Notamacropus eugenii: one gene and its partner. The protein of the gene in region 1 interacts with the protein of each later gene in a biochemical or structural test. Links are inferred from orthologs where the notes say so. Each region holds a gene or a part of one and is shown on either strand. Other genes may lie near its edges.

Evidence for each region. The genes of interacting proteins can lie anywhere in the genome.
Region 2: the proteins of SYTL4 (region 1) and RAB27A form a complex in vitro, tested with the Homo sapiens proteins (2 studies listed by BioGRID). The link is inferred for Notamacropus eugenii from reciprocal best matches to the Homo sapiens genes SYTL4 and RAB27A.

What each region holds. Positions count from the first base shown.
Region 1 is NC_092879.1:92,448,943-92,456,158, forward strand, and holds the start of SYTL4 (synaptotagmin-like protein 4), read right to left. Parts: upstream 3,008-7,216; 5' UTR 2,820-3,007; intron 2,116-2,819; exon of another isoform or gene 2,111-2,115; 5' UTR 2,002-2,110; intron 1,005-2,001; 5' UTR 1-1,004. UniProt on the Homo sapiens protein: Modulates exocytosis of dense-core granules and secretion of hormones in the pancreas and the pituitary. Interacts with vesicles containing negatively charged phospholipids in a Ca(2+)-independent manner.
Region 2 is NC_092872.1:141,477,305-141,484,829, reverse strand, and holds the start of RAB27A (ras-related protein Rab-27A), read right to left. Parts: upstream 3,009-7,525; 5' UTR 2,660-3,008; intron 1-2,659. UniProt on the Homo sapiens protein: Small GTPase which cycles between active GTP-bound and inactive GDP-bound states. In its active state, binds to a variety of effector proteins to regulate homeostasis of late endocytic pathway, including endosomal positioning, maturation and secretion.

The DNA of each region.
Region 1 (7,216 bases):
GACTATAGTGAAAATGTATTTAACAGGAATGTATGTGTAGAACCTATATAAAGTTGTATGCCTTCTCAGGGAGGAAGGGGAGAGGTGAGGGGGAGAGAGGGGAAAAAAATCTGGGTTTATGGTAGTGATTGTAGAACACTGAAAATAAATAAAATTAATTAATTTTAAAAAAAGAAAATGCAATCCTGATTTTCAGAAGAGGCAGTTGGAAGGCTGGACCTAGGGGCAAGAGCACCACAGTTCAAATCCCATCTTAGCTGTGCAACTCTGGGAAAGTCATCTCACCTCCTAGCGCTAGCATCCTTATCTGTAAAATGAGGAGAATAAGAGCACTGTTTAGAAGGCAGTTAGGTGGCATGGTGGAGAAAGCCTGGAGTCAGGAAGACCTGAACTCAAATCCAACTTCAGACATTTACTGGCTAAGGGAACCTGAGAGAGTCATTTCACCCATCTGCTTCAGTTTCCTCAACTCTAAACTGGGGACATAATGGCACCTACCTCCCAGGGTTGCTGTGAAGACTAAATGAGATAACATTTGTAAAGTACAGGCACTGACTAAATGCTTGTTTCCCTCCTTACTTCACTGGGTTGTTGTGAGTAACAAACAGTACAGCCTACAAAACACTTTGTGATTATTCTTCTTCCTCCAAGCCATTAATAAAACTGAACAGAAGTGAGCAAAGGGCAGAGCCTGATGGCACACCACTAAATACTTCTCTCCAGTTTTTCAATAGAGTGCCAAATAATTACAGATCCCACCTACTGTTCCTTCATCTTGCTTACCCAGATATCATAAAAGACCGACAAATGTCCTGCTGATAGTCTAATAGGAAATCACCCTGCTCAGGAGCATAACAACGCCCTCAGAGAAGAACGAGGCTTTCGTGCAGCTTGGATCCTTCTTCAGGTTTGGGTTTTTGTCATTTCATTGATGCTTTCCATATACAATGAAGTCATCCCGGGATATAAACCCCACTTCCATTCCCACTTCCCATAAATACTCACTTGAAACAAAAGAAAAAACAGTTAAAGCAAAGTTAAGAGACACATTGATGGAAGAGGACAAAGCATGAGATCTCTTCCCCTTCCTCCTTCCTGATGGGGAGGAAGCAGAGCATGAAATGTTCTTCATGACTGATGGTTCTGAGTGTTCCCCACTTCCAGCCTTGAATCTGGAAGACCTGGGTCCAAGTACTGCCTCGGAGATATACTGGCTGTGTGACCCTGGGCAGTTAGCTCTCTAAGGTTCTGAGTGGCAGAGCAGGGGGATTTTGCTTTTCTCCCCTCTCTCTTTCCAAGGTTCCCTGGTTCAGTTCATCTTTCCCCTTTCCCCCTTCAGGGTTCCCTTAGGTGCTCTGAGCCCCACCCTCACATCTCATCTGCCTACAGTAGAGTTTCCTCTCATGGGGAGTTGGGTACATTCATTAAATTAAAGGTCTGGCCCCTCTTTCCCCAGATCAGCAGGCTCTCAAATCCACATTTACTACACCAGGGCTAATGCCATCTTTCCTTCTTCTGATACCTGATTTTTTTTTAAAGGCTATTCAAGTCACCGTAATTGGTTTTACTGAGCCCACATATTTATTCAACTAGGGCTAGATGCTATGAAAGGCAATCATCTCATTAAACAACAGAAGTCTGGGAGCTTTTTCTATTGGAAAACATATCTTTCCCAAGAATCTCCCAATGCATCTCGTGGTGCTTGGGTTAGGTGGGTAGGTTGGGGTTCTGAGGATTTAGCCCTTCCTTGGCGGGAAGGAATCCCCCCCAGTGGCTAAAAACGCTCCCAGTTACGACTGTTAATGCTCTGTGCCTCTTTTTCCCAGAGTGATGTTTCAGGCTTATACTGTCTGGTCTGGAGGACCAAGGAAAATGACCTCAGTCCTCCAAGCCAGCCTGCAGACCTCTCCCTAAATATTTCTTAGCAGCAGACCTTCAGCCCCAGGAGGAACGGACACTGCCTTGGACCATCCTGCTACACAAAAAGCCTCCGAACTTTACCTTGGCAGGGGTAAGGGAAGGAAGAGGAGATGCCGTAGATCAGCCTCTAAGGTCCTCCTGACGGTCCAACGATCCAGAGGGGATCTGCGAGGCACAACCTCAGGCCAATCTGTGCTGAAGGGAAAGGAAAGGCTACCCTCAGCCAAGGTGGGATGCTGGTTCATGCTCCCTTTCCCCTCAAAGCGCACAGGGAGACAGTATTCTGACAGGAGACCTGAGGGGTGGGGCCCAGAGCACCCAAGAGAGCCCGGAAGGGGGAAGAGGGAAAGATGAGCTGAAGCAGGGAAACTTGGAAAGGGACAGGGAGCTGGGGGAAGTAAAATGCGCCAGGGGAAGTCTAGGAACGGGAAGGCACCAGTCAGGAAGGGGCAAGGGGGTGCTCCCTCCCGGCAGAGTGAGCATCACAGGACTGTAGCTCTAGACCTGGAAGGGACCTTAGAGGCCACCTACTCCAATCTTCCCTCATTGTACAGACAAGGAAACTGAGGCAGGGGAAAGGGAGTGACTTATCTAAGGACTCAGAGCCGGTTAAATGGCACAGCTGGATTTCCAACTGACCCCGACGGTCGGGGCGGGTTTGAGTGGAGAGACCAAGGAGTCAAAAGCTCCGGGGAGAAAAGAGTGGGAAGGACAGAGGGTGGAGAAAGAAGGGGCAGGAGGGAACAAGCCCGAGGGCGAGCGGAGGAAAAGGGCGGAGAGAGCGGAGCTGAGCCGGGAGCAGCGGGAGCGGAAGGGGAGGGCAGGCCAGCCTGGGCAGGGGCCCGGGGCCAAGCCGGGATGGAGCCTCTGAGAGTGGGGCGGAGGAGCCGCGGAATCACCTGGCTGGAGATGCGGGGAGCGGTGGGACTTCGGCAGGGGCCGGAGATCAGCGGGTCGGGCTTTCCCTCTGGCTCTCGGTTTCTGTATCTCTGTGGGTCCCGTCTCTCGCCCAGGTCCCGGCTACCGCTAGCCGCCAGTGGCTCGGCTCGCGCAACCGAAGCAGGCGGAAAGGGACACGACTTTCCAGGGAGCGGGGCGGGGCCGCTTATTTAAAGGGAGCCGGTGACTCCGCCCCTTAACTCTCGGGGAGGCCCCACCTCCACCCCCCGCGCTCCGGCTCGCGATTGGAGAAGCCCCGGGCCTCCCCCCTCCCGGCTTCGAGCTGGCTCCGCCCTTGCCCTGCCCTCCCGACGGCTCGGGCAGGCTGGATTTCTAATGAGGGCGTGTGTGCCTGTGTGTGTCCGTGTGTTCGTGTTCCGGTGTGGCCCGTGTGTGCGCCGGCTTCGACGGGGAATCGAATACATCTTTTGGGGATACGTGCCCACTCGGTCTGCTAGGACAAACAAGTGACAGTCTAAAATGCGGCTGCCTACCGAGGCACAAGGCTCCCAGCTGTCGGGCCAAGGCCCTCGCCCCTTCTTCCAGCCCCCAATCCAGGGGACAGTCACTGCCACTGCAGGCCCTAGGGCTCCCCCAGAGCGTGCCAGTGAGCCCCCTCCAGCCCCCAGCCCTGCTCCTCGGAGACTGTCCCAGCAGCAGGCCAGGAGATCCCTGCTCCACTTCAGTATGGGTGGATTTGTGACACCACCTGCCCAGGCAGGATTTTGTTTGGCCATGTTCTTCTCCCAAGGCCTGGGACCAGTCTTGCTCCCTAGACTTGTCCCCCTACTCACCCTACACAAACACGCCAGGCAACAGCGACCAAAACCAAACAGAATACCTCAATGCCAAGGAGCGAAGGCCTTGTAGAACCCAGGCTACACTCAAAGAGCATCCTGTAGTCTCCCTAAGGAGTCAGAAGCAATTCATTCTTCAGCCTTGACAAACCACAGGAGCAGGCCTGGTAGGTCTGCCTTCTGGGTAAAGAACTGGGATATTTAGTAAACAAAAAAAACAGACCTCCCCATACAGGAACAATCAAAGTGAGGACCCTTATGTCTTAAGATCCCAAAGCAACCTCTAGGGAGGAGGGGACTACAGATGTATTACTATTTCCCCTTGATAACAAAGGAATGAGACTTGGAAAGATGATAGGGACTTGCCCAGGGCCACACAGCCAGTGAGTGTCAAAGGTGGGATTCCTGACAATTCACTCCAACTAAGCTTCCTCTCTGACCAGCATATGCAGAGTGCTACCTCCTGGGTACAGACTTGTGGGTTCCTCCAGCCCTCATTTTAATACTGGAATCCGACAACCACAGCCACAAGCGTAAGTGTTCTAGGAATGGAGGACCTGAAAGTCTATGTTGAAACTCATTACAAGCAGGCTGGGTTCTTCACACTAAACTAGCCCTTTCCTGAACTGGAGAACCACTGGCACCATGAACACTGCATGGTCTACCTCAGTCTAAGCACCATTTGCCAGTCTTGCAGCCTTGCACCCTAAAGCAGGGTTAGCCTGTGTAACTCCCTCCTGAGTGGTCAACAAGGGCCCCTGCTAAGATCATGGAGAATAACGGAGAATGGGGTGAGAGCTCCTGTGGCTCAGGGCTTAGTCTGGGCTCCCAAGGCAGGCAAAGAAATATCTGAATATCTGAACTCAGTGGCCTGTTTTGGTTGAGAGCTACAAAATTTAGACTCATTGCTAAGTTAAAGAATACATGATAGTCCAGATTTGGTGGTATAGCCATTTATAGAGAGTTGTATCAATTTGCAAAAGGCCAAATGGACCTTTCGGAGATGTGCAAATGAAACAACAAGAAAAACCATTAGCGCTGACTTAAGTCCAATGGAGAAGACCCTTTCTTGAGTAGGAAAGAGTTTTGCTTATCAAAATGTGTCCAAACAAAGCCCTCAGAATGAAATGCTTCACAATTGCCTTCAAAATGTGTCTTGTGTTCATACTCACATTGTGATGACAGGAAGTCCAGGGTAAGGACACCAGAATATCTAACAGCCCTCGCTCTAGGAAAGTCTGGTTTTGAATAGACCTGAACAAGAGATAACCGAAAGGGAAGAGCCTTCTGCCCAGTGGCTGACATGCACTCGGTCAGCAGGTCTCTTACCCTCGCCATGCCCCAGGTAATTTTCTTAATTAAGACTCAGTTACAGACACTGGGCTGATCTGCACAGAGAGAGGGAGCTTCCTACAATAGAAGCAATTGCAGGTGTGGAGAAACAAAAAAGGAATCCCCTCTCCCTCCCCCCCCCCCCCCACTCGCATGGGGTCCTTCTGGCCCTGTCATATACCTACAAATGGGCAGGTTTCCATATATACATCTTAACAAGAAAGAAAACAGTAAATCAGGCTGGGAAAATGCTTGACTTCCTTCAAGAAAAAGATGCTAAACTGTGGGTGCCCAGCCCAGCCCTCTCCAGGAATCCACTCTTTCCTTTCCCCTATCGAGAAAACAGATACAAGGATTCCCATTTTCTGATATATTTAGGAAACTGAAGTTATCGAACCAACTGAGGTCTCTCCCCTCCATGGCAGACTAGCATGCTTGCCCTGAGTCTGCCCATCTACTAGCACCTACACTATACAAAAGATTCTGCCTTGCCTCCTTCCACCTAGATAGAGGCCCATTGAAGGAGACAGAGAAAACGCCTTCTTCTGCTGTTACCCTGCCCTTTTTACCTTTACCAAAGGTGTGTCCAGACCTAGAAGTTCATGTTAGCCTCACAGAAACCCTGGTGACTAGGTGGTGCAGGGATCGGTGTACCCACTGAAGAGACGAGGAAATGGAAATGTAGAGCCTGTAGGTACCATAACCCAGCTGAGACCCAAAGCTGGGGCTTCTGATCCCTGACCCAGAGTCTGTCACTGGGCCAGAGCACCTATGCTCATTTCCCTTTCCCTGTCTACTTCTGGTTCCCAGTGTTTCATGGGTGAGCATGGAGAAAATGTTCTCCAATTCCAAACGGTTGTTTCTTAGGCAATGAAGAATTCAGCAACGAGAGAAAAGTGCCTGGGGACACAGGAAGTTTGGGAAAGAGTTCAGAAAGACCAAAGACAGAAATGGGAAGCAAAAATTGACCTTAAAAACATTTCTCCCTTTCTTTTTAAATTTCACGGGGATTTTTTTTTTTCGAAAATGGAAATGTTTTGCAGAACTTCACATGTATAATATATAATATTGTTTGCCTTCTCATTGGGTGGGGGAGGGAGAAAATTTGGAACTGAAAGTTTAAAAAAATGTCAAAAATAAGTAAAATAAAATTGATGGAGGGTTTTCTGCTTTGCCACTTTCCAGTGAGTCTTAGTTCCTTCACTCAGTTCTGAAAACAACCTTCCTTTGTAACAAAGAGTTACAGTGAAGCAAAACGAATCAACATATTGGGCATGTCTCACGATGTAAGCCATATTCTGCACATGTAATCCACCACATCTCTACTGAGAAGGAAACGTTTCATTTTCAATCAGTCCTCCAGTTACAATTAGTTACTACAATGATTGTTTCTGATGTCTAGAAACAGATGTTGAGAACCAACCAGTGGGGATGACTTCCAAAGTTTTTTCATTCTAAAATTTCACAGAAATTTCCCTAGTTTAATTGTGTGTGTGTGTGTGTGCATGTGAGGAGGTGTTTTGTTTTGTTTGTTTTTTGCTATTATAGAACTTTTCCCCTTTTGCTGTTCCAGAACTAACTTCCACAGACGTGCCTCAGTTTCATTACCTAAAAAAATAATCTAGGAATTTTACCCATTTCTCCGTCAGAAACACACACAGATTTCCAATGTCCATTCTTCTGCATATTCTTGTTAAGTATGACAGTCATTAATGACAATTACAGCAATTACATAGCCGTAATCAAGGTTGTTCTTCCGCTTCTGCTCAAAACCTCCCAAATAACTCAGCCTTCGGAGATAGTAGGGCCACTGAGGCTGTTAGAGGGCTGGGCCTGGAGCCAGGAAGACATCTTCCTGAGTTCAGATCTGGCCTCACACATTCACTAGCTGCGTGACCCTGGGCAAGTCACTTCCCCCTCTTTGCCTCAGTTTCCTCATCTGTAAAATGAGCTGGAGAAGGAAATAGCAAATCACTCCAGTATCTCTGCCAAGAAAACCCCAAAACAGGGTCACAAAGAGTTGGAAACAACAACAGAATAGTCTCTACCCATCCTAGGAATAGTCTTGAAAAAAATACAAGAGAAGGGGATAGGTAAACTTTCACGAAAGCTGTCCTAGAATAGGTCACCTCTCCAGTCAGACAAATGCTTGAAACATAAGGATAATATAAATGTTTATTATTGATTATAAGAAAATATTTGATTCAATAGAGGAAAATGCAACCTTA
Region 2 (7,525 bases), on another chromosome or scaffold:
AACTGAGGCAAACGGGGTTAAGTGATTTGCCCAGGATCACGCAGCTAGTGTGTGTCTGAGGCCAAATTTGAACTCAAGTCTTCCTGACTCAGGTCAGGCACCCTATCCACTGAGCCACCTAGCTGCCCCAAGTCTTAAAACATTGTCTTAACTTTTAGTCTTTTCAGTATTACTGCACCAAACCTATGATAGTGTCTCTTTCATTATAAATAAAAAGAACGCATTATGTTAAGGGTGGGATGGGGGAGCTTTCCCTCCCATTTCATGAGGCTACACATGATCTGTCTTCCTTGATAAGGTGAAATCACAAAGAGGATTATCTTCAAAACCACAAATTCCAACAAGGAGAGATGCAGAGAGGAAGTGCTATAGGAGTTCAGAAGAGAAGAGTTCATCTTATACACCGTAAAAGAAACTTGGCTTCAAAATCCTGAGTAAAAAATAAAGATTGATGTTTCAAAAAGATTCACTGCCACTGAGGAAGAAATGGAGACGATGGGCAGTAAAGAGCAGGTTTAATCTTTTCATGCCCAGTATTCAAGCACCACATAGAAGGATGCATCCATTGGAGCACACAAAGCTGTCCAACCCTCCTCTGCTCTGGCCTACCCTGCCCAATCTGGTCACTGTAGGGGAAGAGGTGCATACTTTTGTCATTCTCTCTCACAGACAAACTCCACCGCTCCAGAAAAAAATACCTTCCTTTCTTCCTCTTCCCTTATCCCTCCTTTGGTAGAGATCCAGGTAGAGGATCAAGAAAGTAGGTAGTAGTCATGACTGTATCTGTCATCCTTTTTAAAATGGACAAAACTTTTTATGTTTATGTGTTGAAATACTTGTGTTTGTTGATGATTGCTTAGTTTACAAAAAAAGGGTTGGTTTAAAAAAAAGGAACTACACACCATGATCTCCATTTTCCCTGTCTTATATTTTTCTTCTGTATACATTATAAGTTTTCTGGGCACAAGAAGGCTGTTCCCACTAAACTAAGACATGCTTTGTAAGCAAACAGCCTAGTCTCCATACTTAGATCAGCTCATTGTTTGTTTATAAGCTGAGGCTCTGGCTACTTAAATATTAACGATGACTCCTAATTTCAAACCAAACGCAAAATTTCTCTTGGTTCCAGTGGTCTGTTTTCAGAGGTGAATTTTGTTTTGCAAGGTACAAGTTTGAGAACCTAAAGTTTCCCAGGATGCCAAGGAGCAAGAACAGTGGGAGACCAAGGGAGAAAGGTTAATTCAGCTCAATAAACCTTTATTAAGCTCCTACTGACCAGATCACTATTATATTTCTGGGAAAGATAAAATAAAATTTAGATAGAATAGACATTTTCTCCCAGGGAACTAAAGTTTAATAAGAGAACATGTCATACAAAAAGGGGGAAGAGTAAGACAAAAAATAATTTTCCATTAGTGTTTATAAGGTGCTTTCCTCAAAAGAACCTTGCGAGTAGATCAGTAAAAATCCTGTATCCTTGTTTTAGGAGAGGGAACTGAGGGCCAAAAACATAAAGTGGTTTTGGGAGTTGGGATTGGAGTCCAAGTCTCCTGATCCCAAATATGATTTTTTTTCCTACACACCTTGCTACCCGCCAACAGAAGTTCACTCTAGTATTTCTTATCTAATTCTTCTTATTTTATTCACAATGAAAAGCACCTTGATGCTCTGAACAGCACAGCATATGAATAGTAATGGAAAGAGAGACCACTGAACAGGCCATGAACCACCAAAGGGCTTAGATCCCCACTACCATCCTCCTCTTTCAAGTCGAACAGAGAGAGGAGAGCTGTGACACTCTGGAACACACACGCGCACACACACGCGCACACACACACACACACACACACACACACACACACACACACACACACACACACACACACACACACACACACACACACACACACACACACACACACCACTGACTTATTGGGATTCTCAGAACAAGTGTTTTGGCCTTAAAAGATGATTCCAGACATCTGCACAACCTCAAAGCCCAAGTGTGGATAAACCCAGTTGCAGGGAAGCTGACTGAAAGAATGAGATCCCTGGTTTGCCTAGGGCCAAACTCCGCCAACTGGGCTCTACAGGTGGTAAAGAAATAAAATGAAAAGCAAAATAAGATGTCTTGAAGAAAGCAAATCTCCGGGCTTTCCTTCTTCCTTCCTGTACATTTCTAAGTTCCTTCTCTCCTTTCCCAACATCTGGATACATAGCCCAGGGTAGGTCTTAAGTTCTGCCCTCCAATCTTCCCTACCCAGCCAAGTCTCCAGCCACACCAACCAAGCTCCTCAATCTGGAATCCATGCCTTAGTCTTCCGGCCGACCCTAGATCGCCTCCCCTAAAAAGGTGTCATCCCTCAGGGTCTGTCCTTGGGGATTTAGCTCCAGGCTCAGTCCCGGGAAGCCTCAGGGCTGGGGTCTAGGGGTGAAGCAGGGCACCTTTGCCCACCCCCATGCCCCCCTAGTCCGACCTCCCCAGTCCAAGGCAGAACACTGGCGGATCCTATGGCACTATCCACCACAATCCGCAGTCACCCGTGAAAAATGGGCACCGCCTCCCTGGAAGCGCACCAGCCAGATGCCCCTCACAGCCTCCGACGCCCAGCCCCACTCCCTGGGCGGATCTCTAAGGAGACGCCCGCCTGGCCCTTACCTGTCCGCGGGTCCCGTGCCCGAAGCAGCTGCGGGTCCACGCTCAGTGCGCTCAGCGCCCACTCCGCCGCCTGCCCTTTTTTGGGTCCCCGGCGGGTCTGTTCCGTCCGGCCCCACATCACTTCCCGTAAAGGAGCTGAGAGGTGGGGGCGGGTCCTCCTTTCTTTCCTACACCTCCCTCTTCCTCCTCCTGGCCCGCAGGGTACCTCCCCACCGAGGTCTTCGGCCCCTCTACCCAGGTGGGAAGTTGGGTGGCTCCTCTTGGGGAAGGAGGGATGGATGGAGCCCCGAGCCACCGCACCTGCTGCCTGGTACCCCGCGGGGAGAGTAGGAGAGGCTAGAGAGAGGACCCCGCCCCGCAGCTGGAGCTCGGGAGGGGAGGGGGTGGGCCAGTGGGAAGAGGGGAGCCCCGAGCTGGGATTCCTGGGCTTTGTCAAGGTCTTCCCGGCCTTGGCTGCAGGACCAGCTGGGGTGAAGGAAAGGGTTAATGCTGGGTTGAGGAGAAATGAGGGTACGTTTAGGTGCGCAGAAGGATGGAAGGATGTGAACATGCAATGACCCACTTGAGTCGCACTGGGGCACTTTGTGTAATCACTCCTGATTAAACCTGCATGTGCCTTCCCAAGAGCCACTGTCCAACGGCACGGCCCAGTGTGTCACACCCTGCTGCCTGAGCGCGACTGGCCTGAACCCTGACTCTGGCTGTCTTTGGGGAACAGCCCCTTGCCTGTCACCTCCTATGGGTCCCCACCTAGGATTTCCGTTCAGAACGTACATGCTCACTAAGCACAGTGGATAGCGACGTCCCTCTCATTCTTTCATGGTCTCAAACTTCTGACTTTTGTCAAAATTACTCAAGACCTTTTCTTCTTGCAAAAGAGAGGCAATGGCATTCCGCTGTGAAAGGGTCAAAGGTGGCAAAGGACGTAGAAAAGTCAGGAAGAGAAAGATGAGCACAACCACGCTGGTCCTAAATGTAGTTCTTCCTGGTGTGGGCTAAGTCAGTTTAAAGGCAGCTTCAACTGTGAGAGAAACAGGATGCATGGCCTGATTGTATAACAAAATGAGACAGCACCAACTTGATGAAATCCGTAAGCCTTTGCTGCCACCCAGTGTTTCACTCTTATTTCAGTTTTGTTTCTCTAAACCTGAGCCCTGTGATTATTGAAACAGCTGGACTGCTGGGTTCCTATCCAAAGACACCCTCTTGTTCATTGCTGGTACTGGTGGTATCAAACCAGTAGGTGCTGGATTGCAGCTCATAAAACCACTCACCACTAGTAAATTATTGCTGAGAAAGCCCTTCACCAGTACATAAAGACATCTGAAAAGACCAAAGAATATCCCAGAGGCTCTGCATTTTGAATAAATCCATTCTTGACGATTCATTCTCTGACCAAACCACAGGTTCTCCCACAGTCACCTCCATGGGAAATGGTGTAAACTGAAGGAAAGTCTGGGATGTCTGGGAGGTGGATCCAAACCCAAACCACACTGCCTTTGCAGAAGGTTTAAGTAAAGGGGCTGAGAAGTTGTACAGGAAGCCAACCCCAGCTAGTAACTGAGTGAACCATGTCTGCAGGTGCAAGTAAATCTTAGAAAGCTCTCAGAAAACTTAAGCAGCCTTCCAGGATTGTGTGGGTTCTAACTAGAGACACTTCCTACTCTTGACCTTTCAGAACTCTCCTTTTTCTTATCTACATTTGACTAGGCCTTCCAATTCCTATCATAAGATCCTGGGCTTCTGACTGAGAGACCAGTTGGACCTGGGCCCAGCACAGTGCTGCTCCACAGCCACCTTCATGCGCCATACCTTCACCTTGCACCATTTGCCCATCTCTGCTTTCCACTGCTAACAATGGAAACCAGTTCAGGACTATTGATTAGGGATTCCCCTAATCAAAACACCATCCCCAGTCATCAGTCTCCGATGTATTGTCTTCCTCCATTAGAACATAAGCACTTTGAGGACAAGAACCATCTCCCCCTACCCATGCAGTAACTTGCACATTTAAGTAAATCGTTTAACTGAATTTAATCATTAAAAAAATCAAAGTCTTTAGGATATGGGAGGCCGTAGTCATTACTAGAAGTGGGAGAGTGAATACCATTGGTTTATTAAAAATGAAATAGAAAAGGAGGTACTCTAAAACTGTTATCAGTCATCTAATACCAATATACTACCCTATATTGTTAAGTTATCTTTTGAGTTCATGAGTGCTTGTGTATCTGCATTCCCCAATTAAACTGTAAGCTCCGAGGACAGGACTCTGGTACCTTCCAGGAACCAGAAAGCATTGCGAAGAATGAGATATCTCTTCCAATTCCTAGCAAACGCTGGAGCTGTGAATCAGGGGCCTCTGTCTATCCTCTCCTCACTCCTAGAATTAGAAGGTATGTTAACAGTCATTTAGTTCAGCTTTGGATACACTCTACATCAGTGGAATCAAACTATTATACTGTACGTAAGGATCCCTGTGGGCCGTGTATTGACTGACAAGTATGTAAAAAAATATTAACTGTCCTATTGTCTTTGTTAACTATTTCCCAGTTATATTTTAAGCTGGTTCAAGCAGCACTATTTTAGTGTTTCAGGTTGCATTGTATACACACCTACTTAACAACACAACCACATAGGCTCAACCACAGAGGTAAAAAGGCAAAGTGAACATATGGCCCTAACTCAAATTCAATAACTGGCAATGAACTTTCTCACAGGGAAGCCTAGTTTTTGTACAACTATTAGCAATTTTCTTAAATTTTAGGTACCTCCTCCCCATATGCCTGAAATTAGTCTCTACCTTGTATAAGTGTCCATGCTGAATAAATTCCTCCCTTTGGAGAACAATCTGGAACTGCACTTTTTGGGATAAAATAAAAGTTTAGCTACATTTAGTACACGTGTAGTTTAGATACACCTAGTATTCCATCTCATGTTGCCCTCTCTGCTGCCACTGCTCAATCTAGCTGCCCCAACTCATCTCTTATTAATTATTCCATATCCCCTGTTTGATGGTTATTTAGTGTTTATAAAGCAGCAATGCCTTAGTTTACAAACCCCTGGTTTACAAGGTCCCTTCCATGTGAACAGCCATGGCAGTGCTCCATGGAACAGAATATCAACTCCAGCCACCAGGTAGCAACAACTGTTTTCATGGATGTACTTCACTGTTGCTACCCAAGGCAGCAGTGGGGAACCTGCGGCCTAGAGGCTATATGTGCCCGTCTAGGTCCTCAAGTAAAGTTCTTTAACTGAATCCCCAACCCTGATCTAAGATACTAGAGACTGGGCAGGGGCACAGTCTCCGAGGGTCATAGGCCAACACCACGGTGAGCTGGTAAACTAGTCTGCACTGGTCTTATTATAGCAAAGGAACCTCTGTTCCTTGACCTAGTCTCTAAACCAGAGCTTAATCAAACAGGGTGTAGATAAATGGCCATGATGGTCCTCCTGTTCCCTCAACAGGAAAGGTAAATAAGATTTAAAATACCACATAAATAAAAAGACAGAGCTCAGGGACCCTGTCTTGGCTTGCTTTGTCACTTTTTTCTTATTAAAGAGGCTTTTGTGGGCTAGCCTAGGAATCTATTAAAAATTTGTAAAAGTCTAAATGAGAAAAAAAGCTGAGTGTCAACCAAGTACTGGAATACAACCCAAAGTTGTAACTTGGGAACAATTTGTCTAGAGTTTTCTACTTCTTGTAACACCTTCCCATTTATCATCTCATTTGTTCCCAGGTTTTTTTGGTATCTAGTGTTTTGGCACCAAAGCATTGATGACTGTTTTACTTCCATGAAAATTTTGATGGTTTTTTATGCAATTTGTAGCTAACATCCATTTTGGCTTTAGAAGTAAACTGTGATTTCTCGATAATAACTCCAGGCAACAACCCAAAAGTTATTTCTACAATTCTCAATAAGTTAGACTGACAGAATATACTAATATTCTGTCAATCTAGCATAATTACTTATGCAAACAATGCTATAAATTTCTCCTAGAGACATATTCTGACTATGGAACTAAAGCAGATACTACTGTTCTTTTTTCAGAGAAGACTTTCAGAGTTGCTTTTTCCTTAATAGCTTCTTATTTAAACCCAATAACAAACATGTAGTTGAAACAATCTTTTCTGTGAAGTTTCTGCATATAGAACATGTAATATGGAGTTCTATCAAAACAATCATTTCAGCTTTATAGGTAAGTGGTGTCATCATTTACAATGTAGGCAACACTAGCAACTATTCAAATATGACATTTTCCTGCATTGTACTAGTTGAACCAGGATTTGAAATCAGAATATTTGTTGACCAGTCATATCGTAGTATATTTTTTATAATTATTTATAGATCTTAATTATACATGCTCATTATAGACAACTGAAATTAGACCTTACTAATTTCCTATATTCATTCAGCAGGGAAAACAGTTCTTTGCATTTTAAAGGTTGCACAAAAGCTATCAAAATACTAAGCCTTGAAAACTGGTATTGGGTAAATGATAATTAATTTTTTTAAGTATTTTTTGAATTATAGCTTTCCTCTTTTCTTTCCCTACTCTACTTTTTGATACAAATTGGTTTATGATTTGGGGATCAGTGTTGAGTTACATGGAAAGATAGTGCTACATATTTTTACTACTCATTATAATGTGTACTGTATCACTTTTCCTGCATACAAAGCTTTGCTTTGAACCTACCAGGTGTCCAACTATATCTGCCAGTCGAACTCTTAGTACTTTCCACTATACCAGACTGAAGACAGAGAAGGTGAAGGTTGGGGAGGAAATTAGATCAATGACAAGCTTCTGGTCAGTTCATATGCATCTGAATCTTTTCAAGCTAAGTGTGGAAGCTTCTGTACCAGGCAG